Linked DNA regions of Arabidopsis thaliana. The protein of the gene in region 2 interacts with the protein of the main gene of each other region in a pairwise test. Each region holds a gene or a part of one and is shown on either strand. Other genes may lie near its edges.

What was found. Proteins that work in one complex are often made in the same cells at the same time.
Region 1: the proteins of ARAC9 (region 2) and AT2G34150 interact in a two-hybrid assay, tested with the Arabidopsis thaliana proteins (one study listed by BioGRID).
Region 3: the proteins of ARAC9 (region 2) and WAVE2 interact in a two-hybrid assay, tested with the Arabidopsis thaliana proteins (one study listed by BioGRID).

The regions. Positions count from the first base shown.
Region 1 is NC_003071.7:14,418,727-14,425,242, reverse strand, and holds AT2G34150 (SCAR family protein), read left to right. Parts: upstream 1-1,771; 5' UTR 1,772-1,983; coding exon 1,984-2,138; intron 2,139-2,381; coding exon 2,382-2,545; intron 2,546-2,551; exon of another isoform or gene 2,552-2,837; coding exon 2,838-2,961; intron 2,962-3,068; coding exon 3,069-3,165; exon of another isoform or gene 3,166-3,196; coding exon of another isoform or gene 3,197-3,256; coding exon 3,257-3,324; intron 3,325-3,402; coding exon 3,403-4,999; intron 5,000-5,086; coding exon 5,087-5,182; intron 5,183-5,551; coding exon 5,552-5,656; intron 5,657-5,751; coding exon 5,752-5,811; 3' UTR 5,812-5,980; downstream 5,981-6,516. UniProt on the Arabidopsis thaliana protein: Involved in regulation of actin and microtubule organization. Part of a WAVE complex that activates the Arp2/3 complex. Regulates trichome branch positioning and expansion.
Region 2 is NC_003071.7:18,427,350-18,431,387, reverse strand, and holds ARAC9 (RAC-like 9), read right to left. Parts: upstream 2,268-4,038; 5' UTR 2,113-2,267; coding exon 1,978-2,112; intron 1,893-1,977; coding exon 1,805-1,892; intron 1,560-1,804; coding exon 1,450-1,559; intron 1,350-1,449; coding exon 1,286-1,349; intron 1,181-1,285; coding exon 1,116-1,180; intron 1,021-1,115; coding exon 955-1,020; intron 854-954; coding exon 752-853; 3' UTR 506-751; downstream 1-505. Other genes in the region: AT2G44700 (Galactose oxidase/kelch repeat superfamily protein), read right to left, coding at 1-373; CKB4 (casein kinase II beta subunit 4), read left to right, coding at 3,222-3,444, 3,539-3,757, 3,843-3,952, 4,023-4,038. UniProt on the Arabidopsis thaliana protein: Inactive GDP-bound Rho GTPases reside in the cytosol, are found in a complex with Rho GDP-dissociation inhibitors (Rho GDIs), and are released from the GDI protein in order to translocate to membranes upon activation.
Region 3 is NC_003070.9:10,189,601-10,196,952, reverse strand, and holds WAVE2 (SCAR family protein), read left to right. Parts: upstream 1-1,739; 5' UTR 1,740-2,052; coding exon 2,053-2,189; intron 2,190-2,663; coding exon 2,664-2,827; intron 2,828-3,229; coding exon 3,230-3,353; intron 3,354-3,446; coding exon 3,447-3,576; intron 3,577-3,664; coding exon 3,665-3,732; intron 3,733-3,810; coding exon 3,811-5,989; intron 5,990-6,113; coding exon 6,114-6,206; coding exon of another isoform or gene 6,207-6,233; exon of another isoform or gene 6,234-6,306; coding exon 6,307-6,423; intron 6,424-6,550; coding exon 6,551-6,601; 3' UTR 6,602-6,816; downstream 6,817-7,352. UniProt on the Arabidopsis thaliana protein: Involved in regulation of actin and microtubule organization. Part of a WAVE complex that activates the Arp2/3 complex. Regulates trichome branch positioning and expansion.

The DNA of each region.
Region 1 (6,516 bases), 4.0 Mb from region 2:
TGCCATCGATGGGTCATTGGACCAATTCTTGTTTTATATTTATGCAAATGATTAATATACTACTACTATATTAGTATATTGTTACTTATACTATTTTATATGTCAAATTATATGAGAATGCTAGTGCACCATTCGATGGTCTGATCTTTAATCAAAGCACATTTCGAGATTTACTATGATATAAAAAAAAACATGAGATGACCGCCAATTTTGTTTTGTTAACCAATTTCGTGTTTAAAATTTATGTATATTTTTCAGCAATGTTGTAGTTTTTATTTAAACCATTGAGTTTTGTAAGTGTCACTTTATTGACCGCCATTTTTTGTGAAGAGTTACTTGTGATTGATAATATATGATGGAAAACAATGCAATAGTATAGCTCATAGAATCTGCGTCAAAGATTACCATTAATGGTTGATAGGAGTAGCAAGTAACAACTTATAAAATATTTAATGGACAGAACAATTTAGGAGTAATAATAAATAATAAATGACATGTGATTAAATTTATGTTTAGGTAGCATCCATAAATAGACGACCAGCTAAAAGTCATGCATTGATCTAATCGCATCACTTATTTAATAATACTATACCTACCAAGGACCATAAGAATTGATTACTTCTAATACTGTGTATTAGCTTGTATGGAGTACTGGAGTAGTACTGTGGATCTTCGATCCATATGTCTGAACTGTAGTTTATAAATAAAATGTATTTATATGTTAGTATCAAGAAAAACGACAAAAGAATTCGAGTTGATAAATTGCTTTGGTTAATGGGAGCCAGATCCAAAACTCTAGAAGCACAGATCTAAAATGCTTGTGCATGATTTATTATTGTGTATATATGCCTAAACGAGGATGGAGTAAGTCACACATCCACATGCATGTGTGCAAGTCCTCAAGTAGTGTAAGATATAGATGTATGAATACATTCACCCACACGCGCACACACTACGCAGCGTGTGTAGATGGAAGATATTATGCAACTCTTGTAACATCAAACTTGATTGTATAGATCAAGGATGCGAGAGGCACACCATTACGGCAATACATACACTTCCGCTTTACTAGATTCATTATGAAAATCTTTGAATTGTACCATCATCATTCATATATAGTTGGTGTCAAAAACAAAAACAAATCACAGCTATAGAGTTTGAGTACAAGTGTTACGTATGTATTGATGCCTCATTTATGGGAGTTTTGTTCTCCAATAAATATGTAGCCAACTCAACAAGTCTATTTCCTCGCAAACGACCAAATTCTCATTCAATGATTCAAACTTTAACGCTATCTAAACTGTAACGCATTTCTATTTTATAATAGAAGTCTTCAAATGCTCATTCAATGATCCAAACTTTAACTTCTAGTTTTATACTCCATATTTGTGCAAAATGTATATGATATAATATTACAAGTAGTAGAAGTTTTTTGTTTTAGTAGCTAGTAGTAGAAGATTAAGCAGAGTAAGTTCTCATTAGATGACTTAAGCATACAAATATAGTATTACAAGTAGGGGTTATACACATGACTAAAAATGTTTATAGTTCTTTTTAAATAATTTATGTTTAGCACTAACAAATTCTTATAAAAACTAAAGTTTATTTTCGGGAAATTATGTAAGTAACAAATGACTAATTTGGATCATGATTCGCTCCATATGGGTAGGTTATGGGTACCTTTCTTTTTGCTCCAAGCCCTTTTTCGTAATTTTCTCTTAGCACTTTTAGTTAAAATGATGACATTGAAAAAGGGAATGGCTTGCGGTGTTAGCAATGTCTCCGAGTCTCTCTTTTCTCTTTTTACAACGAAAAACCTTTTTGTAATCTCCAAATTTTCCCTCTCTCTCTCGTTTCGGCGGTTAAGCTGCCATAATCTCTCACCCACCTCAAGCAACATAACCCACAAAAACTCAATCTTTGTTTCTTATCTTCAAAACCCATCTGATCATTCCTCCGGAATCTTTCTCAAGAACAGAGCAAATGCCGCTTGTTAGGCTCCAAGTTAGGAATGTCTACGGTTTAGGGCAAAAAGAGCTTCACACAAAAGTCGACCGTGAAGACCCTAAAGCGATTCTCGACGACGTCGCCGTTTCTGGACTCGTCGGGATCTTGCGTCAACTCGGTGATCTCACAGAGTAAGTAGTACTTTAAGTCAACTCTGTTTCCTCTGTTTCTTTTTTTTTATAATTGACTTATAAATGTTTTTAAAAAAAAAAAAATCTTAAGTAAAAATGTGACAATATGGAGTCAGTGATCTTCTTTGATTCTCTGTAAAATCTTTAATTTTGCTGTGTTTGGTCTTCTTCATTTGCTTATTTTATGGTTCTCAGCCAATCTTACTTGTCCTGAGTTTTTATGTTAAACTCACATTGTTTCAGATTCGCAGCAGAGATATTCCATGGAATACAAGAGGAGGTAATGATAACAGCATCAAGAAGCAACAAATTGAAGATGAGATTGAAGCAAATAGAAGCTAAAGTTCCTACAATCCAAAAGACAGTGCTTGCACAAACAAATCACATTCATTTTGCATACACTGGAGGTTTCTTTTGTCTTGTTTCTCTTGTCAATCTTCTTTAATGTCTAGATTCACATGTTTGTTCTTTAATCAAAAATTTATATCCTGTTGAGTTTATTGTAGGCCCTAGCTCACATGCCTTTTGCACTAACTTCTTAGCTTAAAATACTCTTTTTTGAGTTTAGAATTTGATGATGAATGATACTAGTAGTCTTTCTTATGGATCTTAATTAAATAAGTCATGATCTTTCACTATTTGAGTTCTTTAGAAAATTTAAGTATAGTTAATGAACATAGTGTTTACATGCTGTTTTAGGTCTGGAGTGGCATCCTCGTATACCAAATGTGCAAAATCACTTTATGTATGACGAATTGCCACCGTTTATTATGACTCCATATGAAGATTGCCGGGAACCTCCGCGGTTACACTTGCTTGACAAGTATATACACCTTTTAACTCTCATTTTCTTTTTTGTTATTACTGTTTCTGCTATGTTTTAGACTGATGATAATAAATATGATGCTGATTCTTAGCGGTTTTTGTCAGATTTGATATAAATGGTCCAGGTTCTTGTTTGAAACGATACTCGGATCCTACTCATTTCAAAAGAGCATCAAGAGCTTCTAAACCTTCAGAGATTAAGGTTTGTTTTAGAGATTCAGTCTGTTAATACCATGTTTTGTAGAGTTTCTTCTTTTTCTTGTTTGCTACCTAAACTTGTATGGATGATGCAGAAGAAAAAATCTATACAACGCGGTCGAGATATATCAAGACTTGCCTCTGTGGCTAACCAGAGTGACAGGTAATGACATTTGGATTTGACATTGTAGAGATGTTTTCATATATGACTCAAAACATGAATATATGATATGATGTTCAGGAAGACATGTACTTCTTTAAGCTTCAGTGGACGAACCTCTACCTCTAAAACTGCTTCAACGATTGAAATTGAGTCGAAATCCGACTTGCAAGAGCATCGTTCTTTCTCTTTCGATTCAAGAAGTGGTGGAGAGAAACCGAAGAGGGTATCTTCTTCTTCAAGGTTTACACCGGGTTCTCGCACCATTGCTTCAGTTCTTTCTGAAAGTGAAAGTGAAAGTGATAGTCCTTCTCAAGATTTAACAGCTCGTGGTTCTTCTAGTGTTAGTTGGCACGAGAAAGCTGAGATAGTGGAATGCAATGTTCTGCAGTGTGCAACAGATGAAGCTCCTGAAGTAATGGAAACTAACTTTGTCTTGGATGCTGAACCGGTATCAAGACTTAAAGAACATTCAGCGGTTGAAGCGGTCCAAGATATCAAACCGAAGGAACTGGAAATGGACAATGAGGATGAGACTGAAAGCGAAGGGGATGATTTTGTTGATGCACTTTACACCATCGATTCAGAATCTGAAAATGATGAAGCTTTCCAAGCCACTAAAGAGGTGCAGAAGAATCTTTACAATGATATTACAGAGCAAGAAACAGAGAAGATTTCTAACAACTTTAGTGTTGATGAGACAAAATGTGCTGCTACATCAGAGCTACATTTATCATCATCACCGGTATATAAATCTGATGAACTGATTCATCAAGATCCATGGGCGGCTTCGGAAATAAGTAGTGGCACTCATAGTTATTCCAATGGCTTCTCAAATCCTTTGTATGATATTAGTGGTATCCAAGAACATCAAGAATCAGAAGAAGTTGAGAGTTCTTGTGACACTGAATCCATTAAAACATGGACTAATGGAAATCTCCTAGGACTGAAACCATCGAAACCGAAAATTATAGCAGAAACTATTCCAGAGATTGTTGAAGACATTGATTCTGAAACCTTCCAAGAGCACTTAAGAGAAGATTATAAGGCTCCTTTTGATTGGTTTACTTCATCTCCTCCACTTGATCACATGAAAATATCTTTCAAATCCTCAGAAACCTTGCCAAGTTCTGAACTACAGCTAAAACTTCCAGATGAATATACATTTTCTTCGTTTCAGTTGGTGCCAGAGACTATTGCTACTTCACTTCCTGATTCTGATTCAGACAAGGACACTTTCTGTAGATCTTCTTCTTACATTTCAGACAACAGTGACAATGACAATCGCTCTGTGTCAATGTCTGAGCAACAGTGGGAAGAAGAATCAGAAGGTATCCGAGAAAGCAAGAGGCAACAAGAGCTCTATGATTCGTTTCACAGAGTCAATGCTGAAGCTTCTTCTCTACCAGTTCCATTTCCAAAGATTGAAACAACAAATGGTTGTTTAGTTGAAAATGTCTCTTACCTCCAAAATCCAGCTGAGCCATTACCACCGCCTCTCCCACCGTTACAGTGGATGGTTTCGAAAATACCGTCAGCTGGATTCGAGGATAACAACAAGCAGTCTCTAAAGGATGCTCTCACACAGGCATTTGAGAAGAACAACAATTCTTTAACTGCAGTCAAGAAAAAAGAACCACACATTGTCACTGTTTCTGATCCTAAACTTGTAACCAAGGTATGGAGAATTAAGTTTTCTTCTCCTTTTTACTGTTTTTTTTTTTTCATCTTTTTGGTATAAGGTATTTTATGTGATGGTTGATAGGTACATCTGAAGAACAATGTGAGGGATTATAAGCAAAGTCATGGCAACACAAATGAGACAGAAGCTGGAGACTTCTTGCATCAAATTCGAACTAAAGTGAGTCTTTTATTCTTGCTTTATATTTTAGCTATATAGAAAATTTCTGTGGTATATGAAAATGCATTCCCTATTCTATTAATTCAAAGTAACCTTTATTAAGGAACATATTTACATAATCGATAATTAAAAAAAAAAAAAACTCAAACCCTTAAAACTAAAAATATATACATTTGTTTTCGTATTTCATTTTTGTCCCGGTTCCCTCTTAATCGAAATGGAAATATATTTTGAACATGTTTTTAGTTTCGTTTGTATAGGAATGAAATGGGAGAAATGATTTTTTGATCCTCCAATTCTCATTTCTGTTTCCACAAAGTCATAAAATGCATTTTTCTTAACCAACAACAACCTTTTGAATCATAACAGCAATTCAACTTGAGACGTGTGGTCAGGACAAAGACATCATCATCAGAAACTACAATGAACACCAATATTAGCGTGATTCTAGAGAAGGCAAACTCTATCCGACAGGTTCCATACATTATTCACATTTATAATCTTACGTTTCAGTTTGCAAGTACCATTTTGGTCATTAAAGCACTTACATTTCGGACTTGTTATATCAGGCTGTAGCAAGCGACGATGGAGAAGGCGAAAGCGATACATGGAGCGATAGCGACACATGACAACATCATTCATTTCGGTTCTCATATGTTTATTGTGTAGTAGATATAGGTCGATTTTGTCGTACGTTTATATTTGTATCTTCAACAAAGAGATAAGGTTCTGAAAAATAAAATAATTATAGAATATGTTACGTCTGAATCTCTAGATGATTATTGATAATTAAACAAACAAAAGAACTGAATTAATTATTTTTTTAAACAAATTATTTAGGTATACATTAAAACGTGAGTTGGCAAATATAGGATCTTGGAAAATAATCATTAGTACTATATAAGTACCCGAAGCCCTAAGCCGTGAAATTCGCTGTGTTCTTTAATTTGAGTCAGTACTTGACACACTAGAAAAAAGATTATGTCCTTGTTTGTACACTTCTTTAAATATTTTCACTTTCTATCTGATACAACAAAAGATAAGCATTTTTTATTTTTTTTTGATCAAAGATAAGCATTTGATATGCTTCTTAGTTCTTACAATTTCACGAGAATTATTTTATACATAATGAATTTCGTTATTAAAGTTAAATTTCTTAAACTTTTATGTTCGGAAAAATTATTTCTAAAAGAAAGAGAATCAGAAATTATTTTGATTGGATCACTAGAGCAAAGCAAAATTGGCGAGACAGCCAGATTTACCAAAAAAGATGCAACCACAAACACTAAAAAGTCTAAAATCAAGTGGGTGACTGGGTGGTAGTCTAGTGGCAT
Region 2 (4,038 bases):
AAAATCGATTAGGCTCGGAAGGATAAGGGAACTCAATGGATTCGAAGAGATTCTCGGTCGTACTGTTCTCGATTCTCCGGAGAGTGTACCAGTAGTCGTATACGGGGCGATAATTTTCGTCGATGAAGCCGATATAGAGATAATCTTTTCCGAGTAAAGATCGAGCCTTGTGAATTTCAGGCGAGCGAACAAGACTCCGCATGTTCTTGGAGACGGAGCAGAGGATTGGGTAATATCGTTTTGGGACGCGGGCTAAGATCATCGAAATGATTTCCAGTGGCAGTGACAAAAACAATGACGGCGATGCCGATGCCGATGCCGATGACGACGATGGTTGGTCGGTTTTTCGCGGTGGTTCGTTGGAGCTAGACATCGACTCTAGTTTAAAGGAGAAGACTAGAGAATTGAGATTTTATTGATTTATTCTATTTCGGTTTCGGTTATTAGCCAAAAAACAAAACCCGGTTTATTTATTCTTCGATTCTGTTTCAATCGGTTTATTTTGTTTCTTTTTGCGCTAAAACGGTTCTTTGTTGTTGTCTCTTGAACTCAAAGAAGACAAACATTGTTCTTTTACATAGACTGATAGACGAGAATTCGCTTATAATTCTGTTACAAGAATCTCTACTACAAGATCAAACTTTTATAACGAAGATAGCTAATCATACTAAAATCTGCAAGAGTCCTTCATAGAAGAAACACACTAAAAAAGATGTAAAACAAACCAAAGCCAGAGACTTGAGTACACTAGTCAAAGAACATGGCATAAACCGATCTTTCTCTTTCGCTTCTTAGTCTTTGAAGGAGGATGTAAAACTACTTTGATCGCTTCATCAAACACGGCTTTTACGTTCTGCAAATTTAGCATCATCATAAGTCTTTCTTTATCAGATTGAGGTCCAAAATATTTGGTCTAATTGTAAAATGTAACTCAAGCATTAATGGTTACTTTACCATTTGTGCTTTTGAGCTGCACTCTATGTATGCTAATGCTCCTATTTCCTTTCTTAGTTCTTGACCCTATAAAAGAAGCAATCTTTGAGTTATAAAAGAGTTTGATTCTTAACATGGTTCTTGATCATATACATTGAAGAAGAATCTTTAAAAAAACATACCTGTTCTGGGAAGATTGTGCAAGCACCTGGATAATTCTTTGGGAACTGCATGTTGTCTCTTAGATCTGCAATATCAAGAAATTCATCTTATATACTACATAACATCACTTACACATTGATGTTAGATTCCTAACATTCAAGACATAACAGAGTGGTTCATTATCTTCAACCTGATTTGGTTCCCACAAGAACAATAGGCACAGTCGGGGCATAATGTCTCAGCTCGGGTACCCACTGCGAAAGAAAACCGATCCATATGCACATGAGATCAGTGTTGTAAAGTTAAATTACAGTGAAATTAAAAGTAAAAGGAAAGATAATCTCAAGTCTCAACCTTTTTAGCAATGTTCTCAAAGCTAGGCCTGCTAATAAGTGAGAAGGCAAGAATGAAAACATCTGCTCCTCTGTAACTCAATGGTCTAACCCTATTGTAGTCTTCTTGACCTGTAATATAATGTGAATCACCCAAAAGATATATAACACAAGAATCATAATTGGTCTCATTTAAGTTTTGAAGAAACATGAGCAAAATCTGATAGTGAATTCAAGAACCAAAACAATGTTGCATCAAAGATTCAAATTTTTCAACTGACTTCTTTTAAAAGGACCAAAAGATTAGACCTTGACATATTGTTGTAGATATAAAGCTAAAGACAAGAACAACTTTGACATTAGGTAAAAGCATTTACCAGCAGTATCCCAGAGACCCAGATTGACAGTTTTACCATCGACTAAAACATTAGCATTGAAATTGTCGAACACTGTTGGAACATAATCCTGTAATAACAAGATCTCAACAGTCACCAAAAGCTATCAAGAAAAGCAATCCAAAAGAGAGAGAGGGAGAGATGGATTTATATACAGTGGGGAACGTGTTGCTGGTGTAGGAAATAAGAAGACAAGTTTTGCCCACAGCTCCATCGCCAACAGTGACACACTTTATAAACGTTGTAGCTGTTGCTGATGATGTTGATGTTGCAGCCATTGAAGCTGACATTGATTGAGAAAATTCTCTGATTTTACTTACCCTGTTCTCTCTCTTTCTGTGGTTTTATTCTGGTTCAAGTGAAGAATGAGAATGAGACTTGAGTGGTAAAAAAGGAGTCAACTTTAATTTGAGCTGTCAGAGAGCCAAAACGCCTTAAAAATAATTTTTTATTCGGTGGGTTTGATTTCTTTCCTATTTTTTGAATTTAGATAGATTTTGCCATATTTTACTTCTTTCCAAAAAAACTCTAATTGGTAACACATAGCTGTACATAACTTTTATCTGTTAACTTTTTTTGAAATAGTATAAAATTACTAAAAAACAGTTATATTAAAAAAAATGTATAAAAAAGCTGAGAGAAAAATCTTTTAGTAACGCTTTTGATAAAAAAAATTATAATTGGTAGAAATGAAAGTTGTACAAATTATAGTGCTTTGTTTTTTTCACCAATCAATGCAAATGCAAAGGTCCAAATGTTTCAGCAAAATGAAAATAAGTGGTGGTTATATCAAATCAAATTTTGTAAATTCAGTTACATTTACATGACTAATTTTACAAGATGTGTAATTTTAATTATCTCTAGATCATTTGTTTTTTTTTTCGATTTAAGTTTGGACAATGGATCGACCACCAAACACATCATCATTAACAAAGATGGAAAGGCAAGTCCATTATTACTACCGTGTTGATACAAAAAAAAATGAATTTTATGATTTCTTTCTTCCTAAGATATAATTTGGAATCATAGTTTAAGTACAAAAAAATGTTTCCTTCTACGTGAATCTTTGTATTACAACTGTCAGTGTCATAAGGCCCATCCGAAAAGCCCATTTCTAAATACTAGAATTTTAAAAAATTAAACAATGATTAAAAAAAAAAAAAAAAACAAAGAGAAGAAAACAAAACAGTAGAGAATGAGAAAAAACCACAGGGAAAAGCAGAGCACTCTTTATCTCTTCTTCTCTCTTTCTTCTACTCTGTGATCAAACTATCGAAGAAAAAACAAACCCTAGATTTATCCGCCCCTCTTCTTCCTCTGATGATAAGAAAGTCGAAGACTTTGAGAATCTAAAGCTGAAAAATTTTGTTTTTTTTCATTGAGGGAATCGAATCGAGTTATGTACAAGGATCGGAGTGGAGGAGGAATAATGGGTGGTGGTGGATCATCGAGATCGGAGATCCTTGGTGGAGCTATTGATCGGAAACGAATCAATGATGCTTTAGACAAACATCTTAAGAAATCTTCACCTTCTACATCTAGGGTTTTCACTTCTAAGGACAAAGATTCTGTCCCTTCTACTTCAACTGCTAAATCTCAGCTTCATTCTCGTTCCCCCGATGGTTAATTGCTTATATCTCACTCAATTTCAATTTCATGTGGTTTTAGTACTTTCTGATTTGGGTATTAATAAATTTTGATTCTTTGTGGATGCAGTTGAATCTGACACGGATAGTGAAGGATCAGATGTGAGTGGTTCAGAAGGTGATGATACCTCTTGGATCTCATGGTTTTGTAATTTGAGAGGGAATGAGTTTTTCTGTGAAGTAGATGAAGATTATATACAAGATGATTTCAATCTCTGTGGTTTGAGTGGTCAAGTTCCTTACTATGATTATGCACTTGATCTCATTTTAGATGTTGAATCATCAAATGGTAAGTGAAGGGTCCATTTGATGAATTTAGGCTTTACTTTGTCTGAGAATTGTTGTATAATTTGGAGGAATGTTTATTGGATTAGGTGATATGTTTACTGAAGAACAGCATGAGATGGTGGAATCAGCTGCTGAGATGTTATATGGTCTTATTCATGTTCGTTATATTCTCACTACTAAAGGAATGGCTGCTATGGTAAGCAAGATACTTCTTCTACATCTTTGTTTCTGATTGATCTTTTGAATGATATCTTTCTCTTTTGTAGATGGAGAAGTATAAGA
Region 3 (7,352 bases), on a different chromosome or scaffold from region 2:
TCAATATCAAAGTTGGTGTTTTAGATACAATTGAGTCTTATTATGAGGTTTTGGGTTCTTTTGAAATCCTTTGATGTCTCTTCTTCCATGCAAGTTCGAATTGTAGGATACAAAAAAAAATGTCTCTCTTCTCTTGTCAACTTGAACAAAACCACTTGGAAGATGATTTTCCGTGTTCTATATGCTTAATGACATTACTGCTTCTTGATTTCCTCTTGTTTTTAACCCAAATTGGTCTCTCCCCAAAGTATAATCTTCTGGGTCTTTTTCTTGTAAAATTTGGCATGCTCCAAGATCTATATTAGTAGCTATCTCTTTTTTTTTTGGTTTTTGGTGGTTGTTTGCCTTGTTCACTCCTCCATATATAGTAACTCTTAAACTGTCGAAACATTACCGTATAACATGTTTGTTTGTAGTGATTATTTTAATCGATGTTAATATGCATCAGTTGCAAAAAAATGATATTAATTTTGCATCATTGAATATAAGTGATTTATTATTTGTATCAATTTATCAAAATAACGTTAATATTTGCAACATTTATAATAAATAATTTTAAGTGTTTATATTAATTATAATAACTTATAAAATAATACTAAATTAGTTTTTATGAAACAAATATCTTTATTAATTAATATTAAGCGAACACTTAAATTTAGTTGGGATAGTAACTTTACACTTTTTGGACACCATCTAAAACCAGAATTATGTAACTTTACATATATAAAAAAATTATGGAGGTTTTTTTTTCCTTCTGTGGGAGATATGTGGTATGTAAACAAATTGAATAAACAATTATATCAGTTAGTGCAACTGATGCTAAATCTGTAATTAGCATCGGTTATTATTGATTTAAATTTTGTATCACTTTCTAAATGATTAAAATTCACATATTTGTATTAATATTGTGAAAGTGAGGCAAATAGACCTAGATTTGCATTAATTTTAATGAACTGATGTCACACAAACTAATACGACATCAGTTATTGCAATTGATGTTAAATTATAATTTTTGTATCGATTGTAAATAAGTAATTCAAATTAGTATTTTTTAAATTTTTGTTGCAAGTTAATTGATACAACTAACCTTTTTTGTAGTGAGATTCTTGAGACATAATATCCCTGCCTCTTCTTCTTCTTCAATTGTTGGGGTTGTTCTCCCAATCATAAACATTCTGGTGGATGTAAACATAAAGAGCAAGTGATTTTAACTCTTGTATAGAAAACTAGGAGTCTTGAATGCATTGGAGAAACCACTTTGCATCGGATATGCTTAACTAATTTACCTAGTTCCAAGAATTATAAATGTGGAATTCCACGATTACAATTAAAAATTGTCTACATTTATTGTATCATACTAGAACGTACTATTTGTAATATGTCCATCTCACTCGTTGGACTTTGTTTCAACATGTAACCAACCCAACAATTTTATTTATTGACAAACAAACAAATCCTTACTCAAATAACTACAAAACTTGACGAAACATTTATTTGACATTGACATTCTCTCACTTTTTTTCCGAAAACCACTTCATTTTTAAATTACAAAATCGAACATTTATTCTGTAATCAAAATTAGAATTTAATGTTCATATCGTGCGAACCAATAACCTTTCTTTGAACCAAAAATAAAAATAAAATCCTTCTTTTCTCAAAACCCCATCACGTAATAACACACAAAATACAAGGGTAATTTGGTCTTTCTACTTTTCTGTAAACCCCCCACTGGTAAATGAAATTGGAAAGGAATGGCTTGCGATATTGGCAATGTCAATGTCTCTCTCTCTCACAGTCTCTTTCCCTCTCTGCCTCCAAAATTTCCCTCTCTGTTTTTGAGCAGTTAAGCTGCCTCATCAATCTCACTCACCAGAAACCCATCAACAATCATTAACCTTTTTCTCGTTTTCATCAAAACCCATTTTCTCAATTTCTTCAAAAAAAAACCTTTTGATTCTTTCTCCTAATCCTTTTCCCAGCTCTCTTAATGCTTTAGCCACAAAACTTTTTGTATCTCAATGTGTGACAGTTTTGTACCTTTTAAGAGAAAAAATGCCACGGAATGTATACGGTATGAACCAAAGCGAGGTGTATAGAAATGTCGATCGTGAAGACCCTAAAGCAATTCTCAATGGTGTTGCAGTTACTGGACTTGTTGGGGTCTTGCGTCAGCTTGGTGATCTCGCTGAGTAAGTATTCAATTCGAGCTAATGTTGCGTCTCTTTTGGGTATCTCTACTGTTGAATGATTCTTTGAGCTAGTGGTGAAGTTAAAGATGAGAATCATTACTTTGTGTGAAAGTAATTGCCTTTACTTGTTTAAGGTAATCTAATTGGTGTTTGTAGCTACAAATTTGGGAACCCATTTTGATTGCATGATCCTTTGAAGTTTTTGAGTTAAGCTTTAGCAAAAAGGAAGAAGCTTTATTCATTTATGATTCTATGATTGTTGTGATGTTTCTATCAATCATTCTCCATTTTTGCTGTGTTTAGTTTTGTTTCATGAGCTTAGTTTATGTTTCTTAGCAACTCCTTATGTGGTGACTCTTTATGTCGGCTCTGATATCAAGCTTAGTTTGGGTTTGGAGTGATCTCTGGTTGATAAGGGTCATTTTAGCACAAAGGAAGAAACTTTCTTATCGATTGCTTTTTCTCTTGATTAAGGTTTGCAGCAGAGATATTTCATGGGATACAGGAGGAAGTTATGGCTACAGCTTCAAGAAGCAATCAGTTAAAGATTAGATTGCAGCATATAGAAGCTACAGTGCCTCCACTAGAAAAGGCGATGCTTGCACAAACAACTCATATACATTTTGCATACACAGGAGGTTTGTTTTGTCTTCTTCCCTCTTGTCAATCTTCTTATTGTCTTGACCCAAGGTGTCTGATTCTTGTTAGGTTTCACATTAATTCTTTTAATAAATTATGTCACATCCTTAGTTCATTGTAGGCCTTCACATGCTTTTTCACTTACCCTAAAACTAAAACTTTCTCTGACGAGGCTAGTTTAGAATCTGGAATGATTGAGAAACTAAATCATTGTATCTTCTGCAAAACCTTAAAATAGATTAACTTAAAATTGAATTGATAGTATTAGTTGTTTGGTTCCCCTTGGCAAACTTTTATTTATTGTATTGAAACCGTGGAAGTAATGGGTGGTGAGAAAGTGGTCATGCTTGTATTTTTCTTACTTTATATCTTGTGAACTGAAGGAGTTTAATGGGGTTCAGGTCTGGAGTGGCATCCTCGTATCCCAATTACGCAAAATCACTTAATTTATGACGACTTGCCTCACATTATTATGGATCCCTATGAAGAATGCAGGGGTCCTCCACGGTTACACTTGCTTGATAAGTATGCCTCAAGCTAAAATATTTATATCTGATATGTATGTACTATGTACTATAATCCATCATGTTATACTGATTCTTTGCTTTATTTTCTCAGATTTGATATAAATGGTCCTGGATCTTGCTTGAAGCGATACTCAGATCCTACTTATTTCAGAAGAGCATCAAGCAACCTGAGTCAAGGAAACAAGAAGTTCCAAAAAGATAAAAAGCATTGTAAAATGAAGGTGTGGTTCTCAGATTAAATTGGTAAACCATTTTCTGTAGAATTCTCTTTTACTTGACACATATATATCTGTTTTCTGGCATGGACAGAAGAAAAAAACTTCGTCAAGGAGTCGAGATATGTCACGTTTGGCCTCCTTGGCTAACCAGAATGCCAGGTAAATTATAGATATTGTTGGCATATTTAAGTTTCCGTGCACCTAAAGAATAATTAACTCAGACATAGTTCACTCCAGGAAGACATTTGCTTCATTTAGCTTCAGTGGACAAACCTCTTCTACCAAAACCACCTCAACCAGTGACATGGAAAAAAGATATGATTTTCAAGATCATCATTCTCGCTCTTTTGAGTCCAGAAGTGGTTCAGGCTACAATGAATGCCTTTCAACTGCAACTTCTTCACTGAAGACTGGAGAAAGACCGAAAGGGGTGTTCGTTTCATCCAGCTTGACACCAGGCTCTTGCACTATTGCTTCAGTCCTTTCTGAATGTGAAACCGAAGATGCTCATGATAATTTCCAGTTTAGTCCTTCTCAAGGGCAAGCTGCTCGTGGCTCTTCTTGCGTTAGTTGGGATGAGAAAGCAGAGATAGTGGAATCTCTTGGTCTGCAGACAGATGAAGCTTCTGAAATGGTGGAGGCGAACTCTGTTGTAGATACTCTAGATGAGAAACCAAGCTATGGGGAAGGGATAGGTGGAGTTGATTTCCATTCTAAGGACAATGAAAATGATAAATCAGAATCAGGACTACGAAAACGTGCTGGGATTGATGAGGTAAGAGAGATAAAAAATGGTCGGGAGATTGTGGGAGAACCGAGGGATAGTGAACAAGAGACTGAAAGCGAAGGGGAGTGTTTTGTTGATGCGCTTAATACTATCGAATCAGAATCTGAAAACAATCAAGGGCTTCAAACTAGTCAAGTGAGCAGTTCCTGTGGTGTTGCAGATGAGAGGTTGGAAAAGTCAGTGTGTGAGCAAGAAACAGAGCAGAATTCCTACAGTGTCGAAGATTCTTGCAGATCAATGGATGGGCTTATGGCCAACAGTTTTAAAAATGAAGAGAATGCATCGTCAGAAAATGTATCTGTTGAAATGCATCAACAAAATCTACAGGCGGGTTCAGATATCAACCGCTTACAAAAAAATGATCTTTGTGCAAACAAGGATATGCGTAATGATTCTGGTGGAAAAGATACCATCACATTTACATTTGTGCCAGGTCTCGAGAACAGCTTAGTTGATTCATCAAACCCCTTGATTCATCATGGCCTACAGGAAAATCAAGAAACAGAAGCTGAATCTTCTGGGGATCTCGAAGCCTTTAAAATATGGACTAATGGTGGTCTATTGGGACTGAAACCATCGAAACCTCCAGTCTTGGCAATGCCAAGTTCTTTAAGTCCAGATTGCAAGACCGAGGAAAGGACAGTTGGTTTTGCAGAAGCTGAAAAAGATAAAGCAGATGATCTAGTTGAAAATGCTTCACATAGACATGTTCTGAATAATTCAAGCTTAGCAACGCCAGGAACCCAAAATCCAGGTAGTTCAAATGGCATAGTCATGGGTATTGTAGACCAAAGAGAGTCCCATGAGACTTCTTCTGGAGTTTTTGGACTCAGCCACAAGTTTCTTACTAGTGGTTTCCGCAGAAAGGATTCATTTGCACATGATAGAAAGACTGTACCAGCAACGATTCCAGAGAACGATGAAGTGACTACAGAGAGGAGGAGGTTTTGTGACCAAGATATTAATGAGAAAACCTTTATGGACCCCTTCAGAGACGAAGCTCCTATTGATTGGATCACTTCGTCTCCGCCTCTTCAACACATGAAAATATCTCTCAATCCCGCTGACACTCTTCAGGCTTCGAGACTGAAGCTTAAATTTTCAGATGGAGACAACACTTACAATACCTTTTCCTCCTTCCAGTTGCTTCCAGAGACTGGAACTTCCCTTCCTGATTCTTATTCTGACGACGACACTTTTTGTAGATCATCTCCTTACATGTCAGATACCGATTATCTTAGCGATAATCACTCCTTGTCAAATTCTGAGCCGTGGGAAGAATCCAGTGACAGCCATGGAAGAAAAGAGCAAGAACTATATGATTCTTTCCACGAAAGTAGGCATGTTGATAACAATGCTGAAGCTTCCCCTCTAGGGATCAAATCAGAAAGTTCTTGCGTCGCCGTAAACCTCTCATATCTCCAAAATCCTGCTGAGCCCTTACCACCGCCATTTCCACCCATGCAATGGATGGTTTCAAAGACACCTTCAGAGAAAATGGAAGACAAAACACAGTCCCTACAACTACAAGAAGCTCTCAGGTTTGCGTTTGAGAAGCATATTTCATTGCCTACAGCTAAGAACGAACTGCCTAGCATGGTGACTTCTGCTCCTAAACCAGAAATTAAGGTATGGAGAAGATTTTGACTCTTTCTTCCTACTTTTCTACAGTGTGGGTCAGTTCCATATATTCCAGATGATCGTTTTCAATATAGTTCAAATTACGAATCTTAACAAGCATATGTTCTCATAGGCCCATCTGAAGAATAATGTCAGGGAGGAGAAACAAAGTGCCAACGCAAAGGAGACTGAAACTGGAGACTTCTTGCAACAAATCCGAACACAAGTGAGTGCAAATAGTTCCTTTTTGTGAAAGAAAGTTATATTCTGATGCTTGATTTGTTATATCATCTTTTGCTACATTCTTGGTTTCTTTCAAATCAAAGCAATTCAACCTTAGGCCTGTGGTCATGACAACGACATCATCGGCTACTGCAACAACTGACCCTATCATAAACACTAAGATCAGCGCGATTTTGGAGAAAGCAAACTCAATACGCCAGGTTCATCCTCTAACTTCTGCATCTATATATATCCAAAGCAAATCTAATCTTTATTTCAGAATCTAAGTACTTTTTGTCTTAAATCCAACACAACATTATCTATCACTCACTCTTTTCTTCTTTTCAGGCTGTAGCTAGCAAAGATGGAGATGAAAGCGATACATGGAGTGATACGTAAAAGCCCTTTATCAGATTCCATTTCATCTTTGTAATCTACTCTCTGAACGACATAAATGGAGAAAAGGGGTTCAAGCTAGTCCTGCAAGAATTTTTTGTATTTTGTATCATATCTAATGTGTGGATTTGTGTAGGTGATAGTAAATTTTGTCGAGTGTGATCTGTATCTTCAAGAAAATAAAGTAGTGCAAGAAATAAAAATGAAAGTAAAATCTATAATGCCCATTCATCTTAAGGAAAACTTTCTAGAACTTGGGATTTTAGCCACGAGCTTGCTACAAAAAAAATTCATGACCATAAAGAGCTAAACTTAAATTAGTCATGGACTTTTATCCTAGAGCAACTAAGAAGAATCCATGGTCATAGTTTTTTTTTTTTGTAGTACCACTAAATTTTATAAACAAGATCAACATTTGACTTGATATTACCATCAAAGCAAGTCGGCAATAGCAACATTGAACGACAAAACAAAGTAATGATTCACGTTTACGGTTATTCGATATATTTCAAGTTACGAATGAGAAGCATATGTTCTCATAGACCCATCTTAAGAATATTGTCAGGGAGGATAAACAAAATGCCAATGAAAAGGAGACCAAAACTGGAGACTTGTTGCATCAAATCCAAACACAAGTCAGTGTAATCGATTCTTCTCATGAAAAAAAAAAGTATTTGGATTCTTGATGTTATATCATCTTTAATTGCATTCTTGATTTCTTCCATAGCATAAATATTAATTCAACCTGAGACTC